Astyanax mexicanus: one gene and its partner. The protein of the gene in region 1 purifies or fractionates together with the protein of each later gene. This does not show direct contact. Links are inferred from orthologs where the notes say so. Each region holds a gene or a part of one and is shown in the gene's direction. Other genes may lie near its edges.

Region 1 (7,711 bases):
TGATCCAAAGCATTAACCCGCAGTGAGAGGAGGAGGAAGCAGAGGAGAACATGAAGAAGTTCCACAGAAGAAAGGTTTATATGCTTCAGTGTTTAAGAGTCAGAACTGTGTTTTATCTGCAGTTTATTAAAGGAAAGATACCCGAGACTCCGCCCAGAATGACCACAGACTGAATAAGAACGATGATGGTGTTTCACTGCCTCAGTATTGATCTTCTCTAATCACTGCCACTAACATATACATGCCATATATGTATATAAATATACATTTTTGTGGTGTCAGTGTTTTTTTATAATAATTAATAAATATGATGATGTTTAAGGTACAACTGATTGAGTGGATTGTATGAAACTGACTCTGCATCAAAAAATCGAATGATAAAATAGAACTCAAATGGAATTTAAATTAAATTCAGTATTTTTTAAACCTTTATCTGAAACAAATTGTAAATGAGTTACTATGTGTACAAGTTGCATTTATAATTCAGATTTGTTTTTATAATTTTCTAAAACAAACTTTTATTATTATTATTCATTAAAATATGTGTTGTAATTTCATATCTGGGTTATTGTGTTGTTTTTGTTGGAATTAATGTGCAAAAAATGTGGACCTGTATGTATATATGGATCAATATTATGAATCAGTTCATTATCATAACTTACATAAGGAATCATGTAGAATCTTAAAAGTGTTAAGCAAACCAAAATATACTCTGTGAAGAATTTGGGTGCTCTTATCTGGGGAGCTGTTTGTAAACTTGCGGTTTCTGAGGCTCTGATGAACTTTTTCTGTACAAAAGAAGGAACTCTTGCTTATCTATCACTTCCTGGTGCGGTCATGATTAGTGCCAGTTTCATCATAGCAGTGAAGCTACTTTTAAAGTTCTTTTTTTTTTTTTTGGATTGACTGACCTTAATTGTTTTCAAGTAATTTGTTTATTTTACTTATTTGAGTAGTTCTAGCCTCCGCCCTCAGCTTAAATTTGAAAAATGCTAATAAATGGAAGGGGCACTGGGTGATGTATGGGTTTAGGGGCTGTGATTGGAGGGAAAGCCGATTGGCTGAGCTGCAGCAGCAGCAGCAGTGTGCCTCTGATAGCAGTGGGACGCAGATGGTTGGACGTCATCATCAGGGGAACGGTATATTTGATAGACTGATCTGCACAGTACACAGAGACATCATCCACACCTATAGCACAGTTAAACCTGAGAGGGCGCTGCAAAGGCAGAAATTACCACAATAAAACCTTTTTTTTTCAAGAGGACTGGTATGTATCATTACTTTAAAGGAACACATTTCAGACATCCCAAGTTGCAAAAACTAATATCAGGGAGATGCCCTCGGACTTGGACAACCCCCCCAGAGATCAGACCAATCAGAATCCTCTCTGTTTCGCATGCGCTTCATGAATATGCACATGAGGGAAGCACCTGTCTCTTCCTCTCCCTCTCTTTCACACATGCGATTGGGGAAAAACAATCTGTGCAGCCTGACTTGAGGGCACTGAGTTACTAACTGAGTTACTCCACTATAATGTAACTAGTTACCAGTAAAAGTAACTATTGCGTTACTTTTGTGTTACTCACGCAACTTCCAGGAGACTTGGAAGGTCTGACATTTCAGCAACTGATGAAAAAATAGGGTGTAGGGTTTAGTGGCTCTTTATTATAGATTAGAACATTACTTAAATACTTCACTGTATACCAACTCTACCCCCTTATGAAACAATAACATATGGCAATATATTGGAAAATATAGTGCAATATATTAAATAATACATTTTTATATATGGAAAAAAGTAAATATATTGTTTAATATAGGGCAATATATGCATGGACCATGTATGCCTTGTAGGGCTGGACCCGAATATTCGGGTATTCGGATATTCGTTCGTTGAGTAGGTATTCGGTTTTTAATTTTGGTATTCGGATATTCGTTTTTTTTCTCCTTTCCAGAGTTCCACCTCACTCTAACCACTTCTGTTCTCGCGGGTCCCGTCAGAATATCTTGCGCGCGGGACAGAACTGAACTGTTATTGGCTGGAGCGGGAGTTTAATCCAGACGATGCGGGAGCAAATTAATAAATAGTTAAGAAAACTGTAATAATTGTAAAAAAAAAAACCTAAAGAAAACTCTCAACGCACAGGATGGACCGACACACACACGCACACACCGATGGTGTTTGGACTGGGGTAAGGAACGGGACCACACTATTCAGCGCTGCTGTTTTAATAAATATATAAGTAAATTTGAAGCATTAAATGTAGTTTATTTAATTTATATTAGGAACGTGGGGCGGGAGCGGCAGAAATGTGTATGTGGCGGGCGGGCGCGGGATTAAAAGAAGCTATTTTTTTGCGGAGCGGTAACGAGACAGAAACGCGGGAGCGTGGAAGAGTGGGTTTAAAAATCAGTCTCGCGCAGACCTCTATTATACATGATAAAAAAAAATGCAGGCTCTTCGAAACTGATTTATATAATAAAACGTAAGGGGTAATGTGGCAACAGTAGGGGCTAAATCGGTTACAAAAGCCTGGCCTACAAAAATGATGTCTGAACGAATTTCCTCTTATCTAATATAATTTAAAATGGTTTAAAAATGTAAAATAATTTCTAAGCAAACGAAATATTTAATATTGAGCTTATAGCCCAAGTGCAAAAATACAAAATCAGTAATACGGCTATGCCCTCCTTAAACCGAAATAGACCAAGTACAATAACGTCATTAACAATGACTTTCCTCTACTCTAATATAATTTAACATGGTTTAAAAATATAAAATAATTTCTAAACAAACGAAATATTTAATATTGAGCTTATAGCCCTAGTGCAAAAATACAAAATCAGTAATACGGCTATGCCCTGCACAATGCTTAAACCGAAATAGACCAAGTACAATAACGTCATTAACAATGACTTTCCTCTACTCTAATATAATTTAACATGGTTTAAAAATATAAAATAATTTCTAAACAAACGAAATATTTAATATTGAGCTTATAGCCCAAGTGCAAAAATACAAAATCAGTAATATGCCCTGCACAATCCTTTAACCGAAATAGACCAAGTACAGTTTACAATGACTGTCCTCTAATATAATTAACAATGTTTAAGAATATAAAATACTTCCTGAACAAACGTTTTTTTTTGTTTGTTTTTTTAAGCAAATAGCCTAAGTGTGAAAACACAAACAGCAATTTACTGGGCTGGCTTGCGCAGCGGAGAAACCGTGCAGCAGCAGCCTCGATGTGGGGCAGCAGAAATTCCGGGATGAAAACACAAAGAAATCTGGGCTAAAAACACAGAAAAAATATGGGGTGAAAACACAAAAATCCAGGATAAAAACACCAAAAATCCGGGGTGAATATGTCTCGTCGGTCAGAGCAAATTGAACATTTTTCAGTGGATTAAAGGGGCCGTGATTTGCTTTTTTTTTTTTTTTTTTTACCTCTTTTTTAAAAAACAAATATTCGAATATTCGCTTAGAATCAGTGCCAAATATCCGGAGCTCAAAAAACGCTATTCGGGCCAGCCCTAATGCCTTGGTAAATATAAAAACATATACTGCACAGTTACAGACCCAAGGGAAAAAAAATTACATTTACATCATCTACAATAACTTTTTAAAGCGTTCATATTCATGTTTGCATAGTAAAAATGTGAATGTAACAAAGATTTACAAGGAATTATATTATTATTTTTTTTTGCCCAGATGCTACATACATTATACAGACCTAGCCCAAAGTCTTACATTTATCACAGACATTTGAAGGAAGCTGTGTATGAATGGAAAAAAAATACATTTAGGTAAAATAACTACTAGATGAATTTTACTTGTTTTTTATCACTCATTTTGTGTATAAGGGCATACAATTTCAGACAAAAATTTCAAGTAATTAACTTGACGAGTTCAGCACAGCTGTTAACTAAAGAATATAAAATATAAAACATATTACACACTTTTTTCGTTCAGTAAAAAAATCCATATGGTTTTTTTTTGTCAGAGTTTGGATGAGGTGATAATATAATGATAATGTGTGCAGACAAACCCTGAAGCTGCGGGAGTCTCCCGCATTTCGGTAGTGGCTCCCTGATGCCGCGAGTCACATATAATCTCCCGGAATTCAGAACGAGTGCCCCAAACGCGCACACAGGCGACAGACTTTTTTTCTCTAATCGCGTGTGGGAAGGAGATAGAGAAAACATAGAGGGTTCTGATTGGCCTGTTCTCTGCAAAGAGTCTGTGAGACAGCCAATCAGTTTTTAGTGTGGGCTGGCAGTGTTTTTCCCACCTCCCGGAAAAATGAATAATTATTGTAATATGATATGAAATGTTTTTGATGTTGTGCAATTTTTTTGATATTGTAACTGTCAATTTTTGTCCAAAAAAAAAAGGAAAGCAGAGGCAGGGCCTTCCAAAAAGAAAAAAAGATAAAACTAATTTCACCTCTGAATACTCAAAATTAATGTAAAATTAATTAACATAAAAGTAAAGTTTCGTTATCCTTTGGTGTGTGTGCAAGTTTTTTTTTTTTTTTTTTTTTTTTTTTTTTTGGCGGGGGGTGTAACCTCCCTAAAATCAACTTTTGCAACTTGGGACGTCTGATGTGTGTGGAATGAAGGAGGTGGTTATATTGCTATAGCTGGGTGGTGTGTGTAGGGGGCGCTGTGCTCTACAGAAGCGCTGCTCTCCAGCAGCTACAGCAGCAGCAGCAGAAGAAGAAGAAGAGCGGGGTGTGTTGTTGTGATGGGGGAACGAGCAGGACAGAGAACATTTAGAACCTTTAAAACCGGAGAACCTGAGAACTAAGAAGATGTTGGTGTTACAGAGTGAGACAGTGAGCTGCAGTGTGGGTGAGTTACAGAGCGGAGTGAACAGCCTGTATCACTCTCTCTAACACTCTAAGACTCCACAGCTCCTGTTTATACTGTTTACACTGTCAGATCAGAGCTGAAAATGTTGTATTTTCGAGCTTATTTACACAATTAAGCCCCACAGATAATGATGTTTAACTACCACTGCGTTGAGTAAAGCGCTGATACTCTTATTTAAACTGGTTCTTTAGTTGTTCCATAGCTATAATATGATACCTGATATGATATTCACTAAAGAACAGCTCAGTGCTTAAACTGAATTAGACTGTGATATTGTACTCATACTTTCACTTAAGGATAGTTTTAAGGTCCAGGGTTTCCGCCACGTTCATTTCAGTGCGGCGGTCCGCCACGCCTTCGTTCTTCCCCGCCACCCTTCGTGAAAATTCGGAGCCCGGCGTTTTTCCCGCGCTTGATCAGCGTTGCCCCGCCCTCTCTCGTTTCTGACACTGGAATTTGATCATCTCGACAGGACACCGGCTGTCAAACTGGACAACTGAATCCGAGGTATGTGGCGCTGAAATGATGTTTTTTTATATTTGTGAACAAGTTGTTGAACATTGTTCAAGGGTTATATCGGTAATATGTTGTAGACGTAGCCTACACAACACGGCTGGTTTCGCATGTTGCATCTATTTCGGGAGGCTACAGGTGAGGGCTTCTCTAGCCGTAATTCCTAAACGCACAGCTGTGTTCCAGTCCTGCACATGTAGCAGGGTGGCCGCGGGTCCTTAAAAAGTCTTAAATGGTATTAAATTTCATTTTTGTCAAATAAGGCCTTGAAAAGTCTTATTTTGTCTTAAAATTTCAACCAAAATGTCTTAAATTTGCCGGAGCTAAATTTAGGGGGGAATAATTCCGTCAGCCATGTGTTGAACTTCGGGGGTGGAAATCGGTAGTTAGTCATGCAGTGCCAACATAACGCGCGCGCGAGAGAGAGAGTGTGAGTATAGGACACAGCGAGAGAGAGAGACTGAAACATAACGCGAGAGAGAGAGAGAGAGCGAGAGCGCGCCTGTAAATAGCGAGAGAGAGAGACTGAAACATAATGCGAGAGAGAGAGAGAGAGAGAGAGAGAGAGAGAGACTGAAACATAATGCGCGCGCGAGAGAGAGAGATGAATTAAACAGTGATTAAACAGCTTCAACTTACGCAGGTGTCCACTCAGGCTCACTCACCTGGTGGAGTGAAAATCACGCTATGTTTCTGTTTCTGGAGCTGTCATAAAGCAAGGATGTAGGGCCCTAGAATAGAGGCACCCTAGAACAGCTCTGTGATGCATTTGTTTTCACGGTCCAGTAAACATTTTATTGTAATTAAATTAAAGATTAAAGATATTATTTGTCTGTTTTAATAAGCACAATTTTTAATTAAATTCAATAATATTTTTTATTTTATTTACTCATTCTCACATTTAAAATACCTAATACAGATAAGAGCGAATAAATAATACATATATATTAAATATATTAAATTGAATTTGGTTTTGTATAAAGTTTAATTGTGTATACTGTACAGTGAGAAAATTGTAATGTTTGTGTCTCGTATTGTGTCTTGTGCATTCACATTTGAAGTTTTCAAGCAGCTAGATTAAACGTAAACAATTAATAGTTTTTTTATTTTAACGTATATGATCTTGCGAGTTGGTCTTAATTTTCTTTGGAAAAGGGTATTAAAAAGTCATTTCATTGATGTAGCCTTCATGTATGTATTCATAATAGGTGAAAACAGACCTGAGAAACAGGCTACAGGGGGAGCACCTGGCTGCGTGCATGCGCATCAGTATTAATGGACCTTCAGTCCTTGAGTTCCCATACCAGAAGGCCTTTGAGCTGTTCTTTAAAAAATCCAGGAGGATTAAATGCTCTGAGCCAGCCTGCCAGATGTGCCACTGAATGTGGCTGGGTGATATACTGTATAGATAACATGTCTGTTGTGCCCTTTCTCCTCTGTTATGTATAATTTAACATTTTGTGTTGCACACTTTTACGTTTACCGTATCTGAAAAATGAGACAAAATGGAATTATTTTAAAGAAACCTACTTTTTGCAACTTTTTGTTTTAAGTGGGCATTTGTCAGTGACAGTTGGAAATAAAGAAAATAACTGGAAACATGTGTAATTGTGTTATATCGTGATATCATTAACGTGATATAAATTATCGGTTCCCAACCGGGGGGTCCTGCCACCGCACCTTCAAGGAAATCCTGGGGGAAACCCTGAGGTCCTTTAGTTGGGTTAAATTGAGATACAGCATCAGCATTGAGTTAGATTGTATTACATTTAGGGCTGCAGCTATCGATCCTTTTTGTAATCGAGTACTCTACTGAAAAATCGATTCGATTAATTGAGTAATCGGATAAAACCTTTTTTTTGTTAAAGAGCAATTAAAAAGGCATTTCACTTAATAATGAATGACCAATTGGTTTCCTTGTTTAGATAAGTTATATTTTTAAAATCACAACATACATTTCCAAATTGCAAATACAAATAAATAAACCACAATAAAGAAATCAATACCACAATTACAAAAATACATTTAATTACATTACTTTCAATTTTGGATTTCTTGTAAGTATCAAATATAGGGTATTAATCAATAAAAAAAGGCATAAACATCGTCTTTGTGTTGTGCATCTTAGCTTCTGAACAGCAGAGACGTTGTCAGTTCTGCCAGTGTTGGATCAGTGTGCTGCATTCTTTTACCACCAAGCCACTTCTCCAAAATATATCAGGACCTGTGGAATAATTGTGAAACAGAAGTATTACAAATGTGGGTTTTTTCTTTATTTATATGTTGGACTACTTGGGTCTAATTACATCACTAATACTAATAA
Region 2 (7,521 bases), on another chromosome or scaffold:
ATCATCATTCCATATCACACCACCTTTACAAAGTCATTCCTGACACAATCATGACACTATCATAGCAATAGACTTTGTTCCGACATGCAGTTTAAATCTTGCTTATTATTAATTAATTAATAAAACATCTTTCTTGATGCACATTCTTCAGGAACGGTTATGCCCTGAATGATGGAGGAAAAAAAATAATAAATTTCCATAATTTAGGGAATTACGGTTCATTATGTCAGAATATGCTTTAAGAATGTCAGTGGCTTAAGTTCTTTTATATATATTGTATCAGTCAAAAGCTTGGACACACCTCTTATTATTCAAACTGTTGTTTTTGGTCAATTTAATATTGAAGATACTAAAGCTACACATGCTGAGTTATTTTGAAAACAAAATAACAAACCAGAACATGTTTTTTTTTTTGCTTTACATTCTTCTAAGTACCACATTTGCACACTATTGGTATTTTCTCAGGTGCTTCATAAGGTAGAGTCACCTGGAATAGTTGCTGCTTTTCCTTCACACTGTGAAGCTCTAGATCATCCAAAATCACACATCTCAGGTTTAGGTCGACGAACACTTTTTTGTATATTATGTAATTCTATATGTCCCTCTAATAGGTTTTATATCTTTATTATTAATCTACAAATAAAAAACACAGGACTAACACCAAATTTTGCCAGAAATCAATGAATCAATAGTTATCAATCAATTTATGTCATGACATAAATAATACAATCTGTACATTAATGATTGGAGTAACATAACTAGTATTTGGTAGATACCATCTGATAAAATACTAAAAGTGGTCATTTTTTTGTATCAAGCAGCAAAAAAAATGTAACTTGACATTGCACAAAACAATGCAGGTCCTTTCAGAGTTATTAAACCTATTTCAGTCCCTAACACAATACAGATCCCTCCTTCAGATGAAATGTAATGCTGTGTACGGTCGGAGTTTCTTAACCAGCAGACCGAATGGAGGATCTTCAACTGAACTACTGGGTGGGGCTGTGGTGGGGATTGACAGGCAAGCGGTGGGGGCAGGTTGGTCCTATGCATGTTTTTTTTATTGTGACATCACAATAAGTAAACCACCCAAACAGCTCATAGAAGAATATGATTCATAATACCAAACTCTTTTAACTGATTAAAAAAAAAAGTATATTTTGGAGGGTTTACAGGGGATAGGTCTCGACAATAGGGGTTTATAGTCGATACCCACATGGAATTATAAAAGCATATTTGCATAATATGTCCCCTTTAATCATTTCTAAATAAAAGCAAAGTGTAGAATCACCATACATTTCATAAACGCTATCATGTGCTTGCTCTGTGTGATTCCAACCTTCTCAATTTTTTACACTGTCACCAACACATCATCTTTGGACAGCTTAAGACAAGTGGAAGATAATACCAAATGCCCGTTGTTACATCAGCTAACAAACATCTACGTTGGTAAATGAGATGAGGACTGACGCAAGTTAAGAAAGTATAGACTGTATATAAGAATGGAGTTTACATCACAACTGGTGGTTGTAAATGTAAATGCTGAAGGAGTAACGGGGCACCATTTTAAAAGTCAAATCTAATGCTTTTTAAGACATTTTTAAGACCATAATAAATATAATTTAAGACCCAAAAACGTAGTCATAATTTCTTTAGCTTTCTCCCCGGTAACGTTGGCTAGCTCTCCGCTAACATTAGTTGTATCCCTGGTAACACTAGCTAGCACATTTAAGCTAGCTAAAGTTAGTATGTTAGCTAGCTTACTGCTAACGTTAATTTGCTTGTTGCAAACATTAGCATGTTAGCTATCTCGCCGCTAATATTAGCTAGCTTTCCATTAACCTTACTTCTTTCCCTGGTAACGTTAGCTATTTCTCTTAAGCTAGCTAAAGTTAGTATGTTAGCTAGCTTGCCACTAATGTTAATATGTTAGCTAGCTTGCCGCTAAAGTTAGCGTGTTAGCTAACTCGCCACTAATGTTAGAATGTTAGCTAACTCATCACTAAAGTTCTCTGCTAACCTTAGATCTATTACAGGTAATTCTAGCTAGCTCGCTTAAGCTAGCTAAAGTTAGTATGTTAGCTAGCTGGCCGCTAAATTTAGTATGTTAGCTAACTCGCCACTAATGTTAGCTAGCTCTCCGCTAACCTTAGTTCTCTCCCTGGATTAGATGTTTACGATGGGCCACTGTGTTTTTCCACCGGCATTAAATGCACTATCCAAAAATGTAATACCTACAGCATATGTACAGTAAACTTAGGACAATTTAAATACCCAGATTTTTATTTAAGACTTTTTAAGACTTTTTAAGGACACGCAGAAACCCTGAGAAAGTGCTGTTGCACTTACCCCACCCTCATATCCTCTCAATGAGATGAAGTGCATTTCAGTCCCAAGCCAACTTCTCTAACCGTTAGGTCACAGCTGAAAGGTATTAAGATCTTTTGGCATAAATTGTGGTCTTAAAATCATATTTAAAAACAACAGATTTGCCCTGCAGTGTGAACAAAGCCTTCCAGCTTAAGGGCATCAAAATGTGTTGGGATGTGTATAAGTGCACTTACTGTATTTACTCACAGTGAGTTTCCATTCCATGAGTTTAACCAGTTCTGGGTGTGTCAGAAAAGGCTCTGTCCGATCTGAAATAATCGCTGGCAGCTCCTCCTGATACCTAAACAATAAACGTTATTACATTAGATGTTCGGGAGCTTCTGTTCTTGTATGCTGTGTGTGTGTTTTGTGGCATACTGGCAAACCTAGTACAGTCAAGCACTGATGTGTGTAAATGAGAGACTATATCAGACTGTGAAGCTGTGTCTATAGCTTTTCATTCATGGCACCTGTCTGTCGTACCATTTGTCTAAAGCCAACAGCTTCCCCGAACGTTTCCCTTTTCCAGCAGACTTTGCTTCCACCACAGTCCAGTATTTGCCGTAAATACGCGTCCACACTGCCGGATCTTCACAGGTGTACAGCTGCTCAGCCCCAGACATGCTAACAGACATATAGAGAAATACAGAGAGAAAGAGTTTATTTAGCTTAAATATCTGATTTAGGTAAAATTACAAGCCTAAAAATGAAATGTATGTTATTTTAATCATTAGCTCAATTTTTATGCTGGTCTGACCAAATACGTAGAAAAGTACTCTAATTCCACACTCTAGACAATGCAATAAAGTAATCTCCTAAGTCAAAATAAAATCAAATACTAAATTTCAGCTTGTGTTCAGCTACAATTGAATTGAGGAAATAATATTAAAAGTCAAAAAGACAGCCCTGTAATTACTTTCTGTCTAAACTGTTCCAATTCATACTTTTTTCTTCCCAAAAATCCAATAAGAAAGCAGACTTGTATCAGTTATGTCATACAAGTGACCATCTGCTGTACAAGAGAGGAGGAGGGTACAGTACAGGATGGAAGGTTAATCAAATCAAACTGATCAACTGAATTAATCAGTTCTCAGTAGATAGACATTTGCTTATGTCTGAAACCTATAAAGAACTATTTTCCTAAAATAAAAACTGAAATACAAGGAGGTTATGTAAGGTTAAAGGGGGCTGCTTACTATTCTGGAAAAATAAATAAATAAAAGGCAATGACATGTAAAGGAAACAACAACTTGTACATCACTTTAAATGGTACAGCCTGTTTACATATAAAAAGTTAAGTAAGAACTAAAAAAAAATCAATATTTTACAATTGTTTTACAATATCACTCAGCCCTACTTTAATCAAAACTTTATTTTGCCCATTAATATGTTACTGGTGTTTGCTTCTACATTAAAAAACGTCAGTACAGTGTTTTGTGTAGAGACCCCAAAGTATCAAGGTACAAAAAATATATTTAGAGACTTAAAATCTTCCCTCAGTGTATAAAAATGTATTCAATACATTTCGTTTTAAAATAATTAAAGAGAACACATGAAATAATTTTCTTAAATAAAGAAATATATATATATATATCAGCTTAATTTGAATTTAGAGTGCAGAAGTGCAGAAGGGCGTTAAAACAGAAATGAAACGCGCCCCGCCTGTTTTACTAGTCCGTGTAGCTTATTTAACCTGCAGTAATAAAAGTCACCTTCAATTTTGTCTTAATACATTGCAACAAGTGTGAATTACAGCCACAGTAAAGCCCTGCAGCTCTACTTTCTGATCTATTCCACTGTTTTATTTCAGTAGAGGACATAGTTAAAAACGATATTTAATTATTAAAACAATAAAGATTAATAACTCCACAGTACTATATACAGCAAAGTAAACTACATTCAATTTCTATTAAAACTACATTTACTCAGAATGGGCTTTTAGTCGGTAATACATACCTTAGACTCCCTATATTCACCTAGATAATAAGAAATACTAACAGTATGGGATTATTAGATGTATTAAATTGCTGATAGTATTTCCTCTCGTGTAAAAAGCAGAGAACCCCGAGAAATCCACTTTTAAATTCTGTAACTAAAAACACACACGCGCGTGCTGCACCAAAGCGGAAGTGAATGCTCCACATCCGGTTCCTCTTTCTCCTGCAGGTTTGTTTTGAAAGGTCAGTTATGGGATTTTTTTTAACTCATTTTTATTATCGTTATTATTATTATCGCTGTATAAAACAGAATCAACACCAGCCGAGAAGAGCAGACACACACAGAGATACAGAGCCGGAGCGGCAGGTTGAGTTACTGCAGCGGCGGAGGAGCAGCAGAGAGAGGTTCAGGGATCTGTTTTTACTTCTTCTAAAACTGATTATTATTAATTTCTCCAGTTTCCTGCAGCAGATTAGAGCAGCTCTGCACTCACTTTGTTCCACAGCACTGTGAGGGAATGTGTTCAGTCTGAGAGCTCTTATCGGAAATCTCCTGTTTACTAAAAAAGAGCACATGGACCAACAGACCCGTGTTTACAAATAGCAGAAATTCAAAGACCACGATTCACTTAACTTACACTTACCTTACACTTACCTAACGATTTATTAAACGCAGTTAATTATTTATTAACGCCGAAAAAATATTAATTAACGTTACATAATTCTCTTTTTATAAGTTTTTTTTTATTGTTTATGATATTTTATTACATCATTGGAACGGTTTATTACATTGAGGGAATGATTCATTACATCCCTGTTAAAAAAATCCAGCTAGTAATCCAGAGAAAACATACTCTGTGCTGGTTAGGAGTTAACTAAAGAGTAACTAAACCCCCTGGTATTAGCTGAATCCCCCCACAGCTCAGACTTGAAAAATGCTAAATAAATAAATAAATGAGAGGGGTAGTTTGGGAGTAACACTGGGTGATGTGTAGGTTTAGGGGTGGGGCAGGAGGGACAGGAAGGAAATTCTAAGCAGGGATGGTATGTTTCATTACTTTAAAGGAACACATTTAATCTGTTAATGAAAAACATATTTATCAAATCTGTGTATTATTTTATTAAATCTAAGAAATTATTTATTAGATGCAGTAATTGTTTTTTTTATTTAGAGAATGATTGGTTACATTTTGGGAATATTTTGTTTAATTGATGGAGTGTTTTTTTTTTTATTAGAGGCACTATTTTATTAAACTGAAAATAATAAAGTTATTTAATTCTGGCCATGTTTTATTACACAAGGGAACATTTTAGGCCTCTAAATATTATTTTTGTACCTTAAAACTTTAGGGGCACTATAGACAAGATTGCAACTATTAAACTATTCTCTAATAGTGAAAAACTAAAAAAAAAAGTACCTAAAAACAAATTTTTACTGCATAAAAACACAGATAAACTGCATTGCATTACATTGTAAAAATGCATGAATGTATTTCAGAATATGTTGTTTATATACCAAATATAGGTGGAAATATTAAACACAAATATGTAATGTATCTTAATGGTGACAAATTCTTACTATATTATAAGCAAATACACATTTAATGTGGTTTAGTGGGTACATATAGATGCAACTATATGCTATAAGCATGCAACATGTTTTTTAAAATATTTTACAGGTTTTTTGTTTTGACAATTTCTTTTTAATGCAACTGGGAATAGTGGAAATGTTCATACGGTACTCTGCTCTTTGCCTTTGACAAACTTGGACTACTCTTTTGGTAACAAAACAGTGGAAACAAACATAAGTCATTCATGTTGTTTTCAAACAAACTAAAAACTTTTAAGGACTTGAGGATGGCATCAAATCACTTTTAATCAGTTTTTTACATGCTAAATTTGCTTTGTTCAAAAAAATTACCAAAGGAACATTTAGGAGTGGATAAAATATAACTAAACTAAACTAAGTTCCCTGTGAAAGGTAACAAAGGCATCCTGGAAGCAACTCTCCAACCAATATAGCAATTATTTTAAACAGGACAAAAGTGATATGTCAAAATGACTTATAGTTTGATTCACAGCGACCTATCTTCCCTTTGAGAGGGCAAGTGGACCCAAGCCATTCTAGCAAGATGCCCCTACTGCAAAATAGAGCCACCTGACCCTCTCACAGTATAGGGGTAAAGCCTCCTGACCTGCATTGTTTTCTTAATGTATTCCATTATGGATGCACCAATTATTTATCAACTGACATTAATTAGCTGAAAATGCCAAAGACTAGCAAGTTAAAATACATTTATGCTATTTTATTTATTTATTGGTGAATAAACTGCCTCTCTGTGCTCTCTGCTGCTCAACAATGAACCCCCTTTTCAAACTTGCTGTAGTTTATGGAATAATCTACACTTATTTTCTAAGGGTTTTCCTTTAATTTGTCACCCACTACAACACGTTAATAGAGATTATGTAACCGACACAAGAATAAATTATCATGGTCCCGCACTGACCATGGTTGGTTGCTGAAATTTCATTACAGGCGAATACTAAAAAATCAAAGCAGCTAAACTATTCTCCATTTGTATGTCTCTCACCCTCTACACTAACAGCAAAAATGGCAATACTCGCTATAATATTTGAATAGAAGTGACAAAAATAGTAGTGATAAAAAAAAAAAAATACATATACATTTCTGTCTCTCTCTTTGCCTTTAACAGATCACTGTTTTGCATGGGGCACGTGCAGGGGACTGAGGTGCCCGTGCCTTGTGTTGACATGAGGAGACATGGTGAACCGGATAAACTTCCAGTGATGAACTATACAGTAACTACAGGTCACTAGTGCTGTGTTCATTAAAGCAGAGGTGGGTAACAAAGGCTTATAAAATATCAGATGTTTAAATGTTCAGTTAAAATTCTCAGTAGAAAAAGCTTGTGAATAAATCTATAAATTAAACTAAATGCAAGGGAAAAAAATACAAATTGTTCTTGGTTAAATACTTAATAGGCTAAATAGTGTTGTCATCATTTTTCCATGTGGACCTAATAAACACATAACATACAGTTATAGAGCATAGCACAAGCTGCATATCACCATATTTTATAAACTGTTTTAATGTTTTCACTGCTAGACTGAAATTGTTTCATTCATAAAAGTCATAGCAGTGTGGAAATCCTAAAGTGTTACATCAGGAAACGTCTTGAGAAGGCCCACACCT

The links.
Region 2: the proteins of depdc5 (region 1) and wdr24 purify together in Homo sapiens (affinity purification with western blotting; 4 studies listed by BioGRID and IntAct, with this or other methods). This does not show direct contact. The link is inferred for Astyanax mexicanus from reciprocal best matches to the Homo sapiens genes DEPDC5 and WDR24.

What each region holds. Positions count from the first base shown.
Region 1 is NC_064427.1:19,700,067-19,707,777, reverse strand, and holds the start of depdc5 (GATOR complex protein DEPDC5), read left to right. Parts: upstream 1-4,692; 5' UTR 4,693-4,854; intron 4,855-7,300; exon of another isoform or gene 7,301-7,612; intron 7,613-7,711. UniProt on the Homo sapiens protein: As a component of the GATOR1 complex functions as an inhibitor of the amino acid-sensing branch of the mTORC1 pathway.
Region 2 is NC_064413.1:14,967,806-14,975,326, forward strand, and holds the start of wdr24 (GATOR complex protein WDR24), read left to right. Parts: upstream 1-4,512; 5' UTR 4,513-4,550; intron 4,551-4,563; exon of another isoform or gene 4,564-4,712; intron 4,713-7,021; 5' UTR 7,022-7,167; intron 7,168-7,521. Other genes in the region: uncharacterized protein zgc:112496, read right to left, coding at 2,578-2,671, 2,854-2,993. UniProt on the Homo sapiens protein: Catalytic component of the GATOR2 complex, a multiprotein complex that acts as an activator of the amino acid-sensing branch of the mTORC1 signaling pathway. The GATOR2 complex indirectly activates mTORC1 through the inhibition of the GATOR1 subcomplex.